Neodiprion lecontei: one gene and its partner. The protein of the gene in region 1 interacts with the protein of each later gene in a biochemical or structural test. Links are inferred from orthologs where the notes say so. Each region holds a gene or a part of one and is shown in the gene's direction. Other genes may lie near its edges.

What was found.
Region 2: the proteins of MLX-interacting protein (region 1) and max-like protein X form a complex in vitro, tested with the Homo sapiens proteins (2 studies listed by BioGRID, with this or other methods). The link is inferred for Neodiprion lecontei from reciprocal best matches to the Homo sapiens genes MLXIP and MLX.

The regions. Positions count from the first base shown.
Region 1 is NC_060264.1:2,225,601-2,230,704, reverse strand, and holds the start of MLX-interacting protein, read left to right. Parts: upstream 1-1,863; 5' UTR 1,864-1,987; exon of another isoform or gene 1,988-2,288; intron 2,289-5,104. Other genes in the region: uncharacterized protein LOC107228024, read left to right, coding at 1-14. UniProt on the Homo sapiens protein: Binds DNA as a heterodimer with MLX and activates transcription. Binds to the canonical E box sequence 5'-CACGTG-3'. Plays a role in transcriptional activation of glycolytic target genes. Involved in glucose-responsive gene regulation.
Region 2 is NC_060262.1:29,695,662-29,701,396, reverse strand, and holds max-like protein X, read left to right. Parts: upstream 1-1,948; 5' UTR 1,949-2,222; coding exon 2,223-2,259; intron 2,260-2,357; exon of another isoform or gene 2,358-2,482; intron 2,483-2,649; coding exon 2,650-2,790; intron 2,791-2,939; coding exon 2,940-3,319; intron 3,320-3,532; coding exon 3,533-3,646; intron 3,647-3,930; coding exon 3,931-3,987; 3' UTR 3,988-4,972; downstream 4,973-5,735. UniProt on the Homo sapiens protein: Transcription regulator. Forms a sequence-specific DNA-binding protein complex with MAD1, MAD4, MNT, WBSCR14 and MLXIP which recognizes the core sequence 5'-CACGTG-3'. The TCFL4-MAD1, TCFL4-MAD4, TCFL4-WBSCR14 complexes are transcriptional repressors.

The DNA.
Region 1 (5,104 bases):
GACCCCGGAAATAACTTATGCATTATACGGCATAATTTTTCATCCGTCATCACGTATATGTATTCGAGATTCGATCACGCCAGGTAGTGTATCTATTAGTAATTGAATTCTTTTTAACGTTCGATAAATTTTTCTAATTATATCACGAATTTAAACTAGTATTTAGATTATACATACATACATGTATAAGTATATGTATATATAATTAATGGTAAACTGAAGTGAAATACTCGTGGCTTTAATATACTTATCTACACCGTCGCCTACGCTAGGTACGCGTTTGTGTGTATCCATAGTAAGAAAAAAAAATATAAATTTTGCGGTACTGAGCGCGATACTTTCTATATACAATTTTTAAATGCAGACGTGTAACGCACGTAAATATTGTAATCGCCTTTTAAAGTTTTACGTATATTTATTACGAAAGAATTGACACTATCTAGGTACTATTATAATAACTATGCTAATGCTATTTTCAATAATAAAAAATCATTTATATCCTGCAGTTACAAATGAAAGATCATATGATGTCATTATTAACTATCAAAAATGAACTCGGTTGATCGAGCTCAATTATCTAATTAATTTAATGCCACTCGTTTAGGTCTAACGAATTGTTTCCACATTTAAATCTCGCGCCTAATTTTGAATTTCATCACGGATGGCGTCACCGGTTGACTCTACCACCCCGCCATCTTCGCCTACTTGTTTAAACTATAATTTGTTTATTCTTCACTCAAAACTGATTGGCATTTTTTTCGCAGTTCGATAATCATACGGTTTGTTACGCAACAAAGAGACTCTAGAAAGCAGCCAAAAGGTTCTCAATCATGGACTAAACATATCAAGCTCATTGTGATAATTTTATAATGAAGGCCACGTTGAAACTACGACGAAAATTGGAATTCGTCGGTATGAATAAAGTCGAATTTTTTCGAATAACAGTCGGAAACAGGGACAGGTACAAAACAGATATTGCCCGTTGCATTTGACGGTTTCCTGCGAAGAAAATAGGAATTGGATTTCTTGAGAACAATACGGAATCACGTTGAAGTATCGATTGGAATGGAGCAAAGAACGAATACCGGAAATCAAAGGCCGCCCATCGCACGCAGGTAACAATTATTATCACTAGACAAAACAATGCGCAGCATTGAAACTAGTAGTCGATGATTGATTGCGTGATACAGGCGCAAGTATTGCTGTAATATTTCGCGTAGTAACTCCCTTGGTTCCTATTCTCACCGAAAGATTATATTCCAAAGTCCGCGGGCCTACATTGTTGCGCGGCAGAATTGATTCGTGTATCTTGTAACGTATGTCAAGCGGCGTTGCCAACCCATCAAACGAATATATCTATTTAGATGGCACCACAATAATTCGTTCAGGTAATTTAATGGCGCCATAATAAGTCGTGATATTTCTCATTTTCAAGAGTGATGTTTAACGGTATTGAAACATATTCAGAGATTTTTTTATCAGTATTGAAATTTCGTCAAAGATGTTCAGATTTTATTCACATTCCGGCCTCAACGGCAATATTTCTTAACGCGAAAACAACTTTTCTCTTTTCTTTGAACGGACTCAAATTTCTTTAGAAATCCTACTGAAATTTTTCTACGGTTGGCAAGGCCGATGAGATGCGGTATCTCGACAAGAATATTGGTACGCCTGACATCAATGTCGGCGAATTAATTAAGGCGAGAAAGAAGATCCCCTATGCATTAGCTGCTCATTGTCAGAGGTTGATTCAACCAGTCTCAGTAACGGCGGCAAACTCGGTCGGTAAGAAGGGGCCGCGGTTGGTCGAGGGCAGATTTTCCGTGGATGGCGCTGCGGTCGCAATTAGTTTCACAGCGGTCGTCGCAGTTCGACGGCGCTGCTACGGGAGCCAGATCTCAATGGTCGGTTGGTCGTGGTCATCAGCTGTGAAACGTAACAACAACGGAACGCGACGAGGAACGCACGAACGAACGGACGGACGGAGGTGCGTACATACGTACGACGTTTTACGGTACGATAGTGCGTTAGATTGACGCGTAAATGGCGGTGCTACCAGAATGAGGTACTTCGTCCTCGTGCCGCGTAGTAAAGTTGTAATGGGTCTCGTCGCCGAGGGATCGTGCCCTTCGACCCGGTGTTACCGCAACAAATGACACGAGTCATAGTTCAGAGGTTACTAAATCCTCGGTGTGAAACGACGACAACAACAGCGACACCAACAACAGTAACAACGAGAAGGAGGAAGGAACTCTGACTCTTACGCGCGTACAAGGTTGTGCATAGAGGTACGGGATCGCAGCACTGCATACGCACACACACGCACACACACACACACACACACACACACACGCATCCGCGAGCTAATGGTGCGGAAATAGTGTTGCCCGTGTGCTCGAGAACGATATTAAAGCGCGAAAAATAGCCCCGTTGCAACAACAATAATAATCATAATAACGATCAGCGCAACAACGGTGCGTAAACACGAGTGGAAGTCGGGTGAAGAGCGCGTTCGGGGCGACAATCGTGGAAAAAAGATCTCGAGGCCGGGGGGGGGCTCGAAAAGGGATTATAATTCTTCTGGACGATAATATTCACTCCCGAATTTTTGAAGATCAAAAAGAAGAGTTTTCTAATCCCTGATAATTTACACGCGAGTCGACGCGCCACCCGTATTGCATTGCCCGTGGTGGTCAGATTCGAGGCTTGAGAAACCGTAGACTTGGCAATGCTTGTAAAATTCACGTTGCTACCAGCAGGACGGTTCGCGTAAAATATTTATATCACCGTTTTTCCATACTCTCTTTCTCCTTCGCCTCGATTAGAAAGACCGTGAGCGCGAATATTATTCGTTGCTCTGCAAGTACTGTAACGCGTTGTCGAGTATGTCTCTATGTTGGTGAAAACCGAGAAGCATTTCGCTCGCGTTTCTGAACCTAGATTCGCCACGTTGCCCCGAACGATTGAGATTGGGAAAGTAAGTCGCTAAAGTTTACTCCCTGACCTGGCGGTAGGTGTTGAAATCCCGGTTCGTCGGGCGAAGGACGGGCGGGGATTTAATTCTCCGCATTGGACGGACGGCCCCGCCGTTTACGTTACACTTACATGCAAATAATAACTACGTCGTTTACAACCTCCGGGTCCCGCGTATGATCCTCTTTGCATCGCGGAAAGAAGGGATAAGCAAATAAGGGAACCTTATTGGTGTTTTACAAACGCTATCTATCCGTCGCGATTTGCCGACGGCGGAAAACTCGGTTTTATTCCACACGCGGACCAAAGGTATTATTTTTCAAGTTTTCTACCCCCCGCCGTTGAGGGGAAAGAGAGAAGGAAGTTTTTTTTTTTATACAAAGTATGCAAGGACGCACAGTTTTTTTAAAAGCTATGTATACTTGCAATTTCGTACGAAAAACTGCGAAATCCTGTGCCGTCGGTAAGGAGGACTTCTACTATTTTGTTTCCCTCTTAAAGTACGTATATTGCGATAGGTCTTTGATTCGCGCGGAGCTTTTTCGTCGACTCTCGCCCCCTTATGCGCGTTATTTTTGGACCGACGGTGGTCGTAACGACGTTTTCACTACTTTACCACACTCTCTTTAACGGCCGTTAAAGGTACGAGGAAGCTAACGCGAAACCGCGTTAAATTTAAGTTTACACACACGTGTCGTGTATTTATAGTCTTGTTTTATGTATGCAAGAGTACAAATTTGTCGTCGTGCGTTCCGCGGCGGGGTGGAAAATTGTTGAAATACAGGGTGTCGGAAGGGGGGGGGGGGGGGGGGGGATTGATGGGTGATAAAATAACGCACGATATGCGTGCCGCGAAAAATCTTGCGCGTCTATCAGGTTTTTTTTAAATAAAAAATAAATTATTCTCCTTCGTTCAAACAGGTTCAAAAGTTCCATTTAGATATAAATAATACGCCTGTTACAGCTTTAGCTCGAAATATTAATATCATTCAAGAGGTTTCGCATCGAACTTTTCTAGTTTCCATAACAATGAATACGGAAAAAAATATTTGCTCTTTCTGATTTTTATAACTAGATAAAAATGCGTCGTACAAAAAATTCGCAGACGTATTTTGGTGGGGAATTGAACGATCTTCAAAAAAGGTCTCTTATTATTTTCTGATAAATTCACTCGTTCAAAAGTTATTAGAGGATGTTGATAAAAAAATCTTACTTGAAAGAGTAGATTTATCGTAAAACGATAAGAGAGACTTTCTTTGAAGAACGTTCAACTCTGTACAAAAGTGTGTCTGTGAATTTTTTCGTTAGGACCGATCGTTAGCTAGTTATAAAAATTACAAAGCGCGAAAACCATTTTTTCCATATTATTTTCGTGGGAAATAGAAAAGTCCGATGTGTAACCACCGGCGCTGCTCTCTCGTGTTATTATGTTTCAGAAATGATAATATGACTTTGTAGATCGTTCGTTCCTTTTCAGACTCTTGAACGGCGAAAGAACTCGCTGTTTGCCTTGTAAAAATTGTTATCTTGTCTTTCTCTCTCTCTCTCTCTCTTTCTTTCTCTTTTCCTCTCTTTTTATTTCTCTTCCGTTATTCACTCTTCTTTGTTATCGTCTTGCTGGCTAATTCACTTGAAAATATAATTCATGCAGACTCTTTTTTTTTCAAAAATGTAATTGTTGTTGTTCGCAAATTTAATGTTACAACGAAGCATTTTTAGGTTACGTTGTTACTTCGAATTTTTTAATACAGCAATTATACGACTCGCGTATTTTGCCAATCCAATTCCGTAAAAATCCAATTGCCGTGTTCGGGCTAGCAAATCGTTTTCACTTTGAGATTTTTTTTAACGGGATTGAAGTCAGTAACTTTATCGTAACGAAACATTGCGGAAGAAAATCACTATTAATATTTATTACGGCTTACCGAATTTCAAACAATTCCATCAAAATTGCAAAGTAACAATTTTTCCTCGGCATGAATCGTCGTTAAGATAACGTTCCTAACTTTAACCTGTTATTATGGGATTGTTTAAAATTCGGTAAACCGTAATAAAACAAAATATACTCATATTTTGAAATATTCGTTCCTTCAAAGTCATCGTAAAAAATAAGAAAATACTGACGTTTTCC
Region 2 (5,735 bases), on another chromosome or scaffold:
TTATCAATGTCAAATGAGAAATAAAACGAAAAGGTGAAAAAAAAAACTAAATTTAAAAGTGATGAAATCTTATTACTATATGTGATGCTTTATCGATTTAAATCGCGGGAAAGTGACCTTTATTCAGACAAAATTGACGTAGGGCGGTTTTGGCTAGAAAATGTGTGAATTTTATTTAATGTTTTGTAAAAAAGATCTCAGAGACCAGTAATGAATAATTACCTCATCAAACAACGCTACGAGCTCAATAATTTATGGATTAAAATCAATTTATATATTGAAAATTTAATTATTTCACTTATTCACCTATTTTTCTTTCAACATTCAGACTAAACTTCCTGTGTTCTGTTTTACTCAAAGAGACTGGTGATTTTAGTTGAAAATTATCCTCATCATCAATTATATTATTTATATGTTATATAATAATTGAATTTTGAACACAACATTGACATCCCAATTCCGATTTTATTGCTATAATCCGAAATGATGAATATTAGCATAATTCTATTGCAGGTGAATATTTTTGTGATCTCAAGTTATACGTTAATATACGAATTACCATTCAATCAAACTTTATCTTACTTGTATGATATTTCAATATATCTGTATTGATATATTATTTGAACACATTAATGAATAGTTTGTTATTTTATTTTTGGTGTTTCCTCAATGCTGGCTTCTGAATCCATTAAAGTAGCACCGTATGAAAAAAAATCTATATACATGTATATAGGTATATATATATATAGTTTATATATATATATATATATATATACATGATAATATTGTACATACAAGTAGTGTGTTGAATGTATTTAAATTAAAGAATACAATAAATACACAATTAGCGTTAGAAGTTAGCAGGAATTTAGGTTGTGCTTACCAGAGAACACAGCAAAATGTTTTTCTTGAAATCAAGCGATTTCTCTTTTCATAAAAAGCTAACGAATTCATTTAAAAAAATCATTACCATATTTGTTAAACATGTAGAGTTGGATCACTATTGCTAATTGTCGTGGGTAAAGCAATAGCCGGCAAGCTCATTGACCAAAGTCATATTGACTAAGTAGAGAAGATATCAGAATTTTTAAATTCATTACTATTTGAGTGTATTACGCAACATTCGCCTGTGGAGGCAATTATAATTCCATCACATGAAAACACAATATCCCCACACGCAATACATATGTCACACAAGTTTACACCAAATTAAAAAAATTACTGTAAGAATAATATATAAATCGAATTTGAATTGAATAAAACTAAACGTGCTAGTTGCACAGCGAAACGAGAATGATAGCTGTGTTACTAAAAAAAAAAAAAAAAAAAAAGTTATAATTATATTATCATATATTTGTTTTATGTGTATTAAAGCGAATGTAAATATATATATTAGATACATCACATAATAAATAATAATTTAACGTAATGCTGTTTTTAATCTTTTGTACATAATCCTTAGTTACCCAACGCAGGTAATACTTTTTTTAATTTCGAAATGTATGAATCTTGAAATTGTTAAAAAAAATGTATCTTATAAAATTGTACCAAATTGATGTCCCTCGAAAATACCGTTCACGATTCGATTGATCCGGTGACGTCGATTTTATTACATATACTCCGTTTGAAATTATTTAAAAAATATTCATTTATCCATGATACGATCTGTTAGTTATTTCTCAAATTGTAGTGCAAACTTGGAAGCATTTTTAGATATATTACAAAATTTTTACCTTTTCTACGCTACGGAAAATTTATATCGCAAGGTTGCGAACCGAGTCCACGTTTGAATCTTGTACATCCTGCACTAGACAGGTCACAGGGTGGACGAAAATTTGTTTTGTCCTTTTCGTCTGCTACTCGAGCACGTGGTTATGTTTGACAGTTCGTATAGTGAACAGTTGAACACACTGTGGCGCATATTGCGTTTTCGCGTTTATTCCCGATGAAAGCTGTTTCGTCAAGATGGCGCGTCGAAACGGTAACAAGAAGTGGTCAGCAGCGTTATGAGTATTAAAAAGCTAAGTTACCGTGTTTTTCGAAAAGATATCACGTCAGATTGTTAAAAAATATTGTAAATTTATTAAGTACCACATGATTTACGCCGACTTCTATCAACGTTCGACAAATTTTCAATCTGAGGTTATCGCGCCCAACATATAGCCGACTTTGCTTCATCGTTGAGTTAAGTGCGTATATGCAATACTTATCTTATCAACACGATGGCCGATCTACCGTACAAAGACGGATACGAACCCCGTAAGTATTCGTACTTGATAGTTCTCCTTGTCTTTTTGTTGTGTATGTTCTCTTCTTTTTCTATTGCAGTAATCCTAATAATCAACACTCGTGTCAAGGCTATTGACTACAGATTAGGTATCTTATTGACGTATCATAACGGGGCAAACCTATTTAGAGACAGGGATAAACTCAGTTTATTCATTTCCACGGTCACGTGTACGCATACTAATCTCAAAATTTGGTAATTTGGTTATTTTCCAGTTTTCCTTTGACTGTTTTTCGATTTTCTGTTTCACAAATATATCATAGAACACACGTACACGATTCTCTTATATGATCCAGTGATTACTGTTAACATAGTTTTGTTTCTTCTGATATTCTAAATCTCGTGAATCTTTGTTGCTGTAGAAGGAATGGCGATGCACAGCGGAGCAGGATCGGATGGAGATATGAAATTGGAGCCGTCTAGTCCTACCGAAAGATATACCTTTTCCCGATGCAGTAGCACTGGTTCCATCAATACTCCTTCGTCATCTGCACATAACACTGGTAAAAGAACATATTAAATTATACTTCTGTAATTTTATTTAAGACCAATTACTCCTCCAGGGTAATATGTTTGTTGAATCACTATATGAAACTTTTCAAACATACATACCGGTGAGTTTCACTGTAGGATCTATTTTATTGTTTTTCAGAAGATGAAGACAGTGACAATAAAAATTCTACAATCAGTTACAAAGAGCGTCGCAGAGAAGCTCATACTCAGGCAGAACAGAAACGAAGAGATGCCATAAAAAAGGGTTACGACTCTCTTCAAGACTTAGTTCCCACCTGTCAGCACACAGATTCATCTGGCTACAAATTGTCTAAGGCGACAGTTCTTCAAAAATCAATTGACTATATACAGTTTCTCTTGCAACAAAAGAAGAAACAGGAGGAGGAACGTAATGCTCTCCGAAAAGAGGTCGTAGCTCTAAGGATAATGCAAGCCAATTACGAACAGATCGTCAAGGCTCACCAGACCCAGCCTGGTCATGCTGAGGCACGCGTATCGGACGAAGCTAAATTCCAAGTGGTAATTATGTCTGGTTTTAATTGGTACATTTCTATAGTCTGATGCAAATACGGCGTAAATAATTCTAACAATTCACACTTAAGTGGAGTATTAGTAGTATTTGGCCAGGGCAAGTAACTATTGAAAGTCATTTTTAGATTTAAGTTGAAAAATAATAATTTTCGATAAATAGCGGGCAATCTTTGAGCTCATCTCACATTATAATTTGTATAGTTTCAGGCAATTATGGACCGCTTGTTTCAAACTTTTAGCAACGTTTCAGTAGCTAATTTTGCCGAATTATCAGCCTGTGTATTCAGCTGGTTGGAGGAACATTGTAAACCGCAGGTAAGATCTACATGTGTGCTCTGATATTGAAACTGAGAAAATGAAGCAGAGGGTAACAATCGAGTATTCATACACTTTGTCATTGCGTTGAGAACTAGAACGCGTAATCCACCCTATCACAGCAACGCTAGATTCACATTAATACCTAAGTAATCTCGATTTTATGACGCAGAGTCATTTTTATTGTGCACGGCTTAATTTTTGAATAACCCAGAATAAGATCGAGAATTGTGCATAATATGAATAACGAAATAAGTAATTAATTAAGTAATATTTTTTTACAGACGCTTAGGGAAGTTGTGATATCCGTTTTACAGCAGTTCAACAACCCTATCAGCTAGTCAATGGTATAAAATAACTTTAGATTATGTTTATGCTTCCAATTGTTGATCAACGATCTTGAAGTACTATTGCAATTCAGAAAACAAGCCATTCCAATGAACTTCTGTGATTGCCAATGGAAGCCTATTGAAAATTACCTCTCAGTTACCAGAGAACATATAAATATAAATATATATACAGTTGTACCGTTCACTTGTTCGCTCTCGAGCAATGGAACAAACTTTGTGATTCTAGCTCGTGTGATAAGTACCTAATATAATTGATCACCATTGGATATCAGATTGTGAATAACTCCATAAACAACCTGCAATTACTATGCATATACATTGCTGTATTATATTGTCTTTTACTATATTGTACATAAAATGATATACATATATATTTTGCTTCAACGACGCGACTTAATTGATAATTTGACGTTTTTATTATTCGAAAAGAATTTACGTTGCTAAATATCAAGTTGGAAATCTGTTTGCTGTAAAAATCAGTATAAAAATTCGAATTTCTTGAGGATGATATTACGATTTTACTATTCTTATGGGAAAAAGTTTTGTGTATGCCACAGGTGTACAGGAGCATTATCTCTATTTGAATTTATGAATAAGTTTGCGCGCGCAAAGAAAAATCTGCGCGCATCGTTGATGTCGATCAACATTAAAATCCGTAAACAAAGTTCACGCCGAAAGTAGAAAATAGAGATGCATAGTCATCCAAAGAACGCAATTATTTTGTTTTTATTGTAAAGCAATTGCAAAGAATTTTAGTTGCCAATTAATAATAATTTAAATGTACAGTGATTTCAGGGCAGCGCATTTTACAGCGTTGTACGTTCATAGATAATTTTACACATTTTCAGAGGTTTTTCTTTTATTATTACAAACTATAAACCGTTATGTATGTACCCACGTTGTATACATGTTTATCTACATGGAATAGCTGTGCTATTCTTGGTTTCAATCAACAATAAAAATATTTACATTGAAATATAATGCTTCTGACGTTTATTACTCTCGGGTTATACGCAGATTTTTATTACAGAAACAGTCGATTTTACCCATCACGATATAACGTGTAAGTGGCCGTTTTCACCTCGAGTATCGCTCAAACGACATGATTAATTGATGCCCCATATACATTTGAGCCCCTACACTACCACCTTGTTACCATTCGCTACTGGTTCAAGTGTTGTGAGTTATGATTTTGCCATGAATGAATCATGAAACGCGTCACTCGCGATGTTTAGGTATTCCGCCCACGGCTGACCAAAACACCGTTTCTGCCACTGCGTTTCTGTTCTCATATCAAAGCCGCAAATGCATGTAGTTGTAATGAGGAATAAGTAATAACGACTTCAGTCGCCTTTCCCATAATCCAGTCACTGTGAAAAGTAAGATTTCATTATTTTGTTGACAGCAACTCAAGCATGTACTTTTAATTACACTAATTACACTTCTGAGTGCGAAATAATGGTTTTCTTAGATTTTTAACCGATTCGAATATTTATTTTATACAATTAAAAATTCAACTAATTTACAACGGGCCTTCTTTTTCTCACTTATATTTCTTTCGAGCTGAACAAAGACTGTGACGAATAACTAATAGTTGTCACATTCACACGTAAAAAAAATTGACTTTCATCCAACAAGGTTACATTTTTTTTTCGTCTACAGCTAGACACTGCACGCAACATGAATTTACAGTGCTCATCTTTTCGCATAACCGCGTAAATTCACCGATGATTACTTGT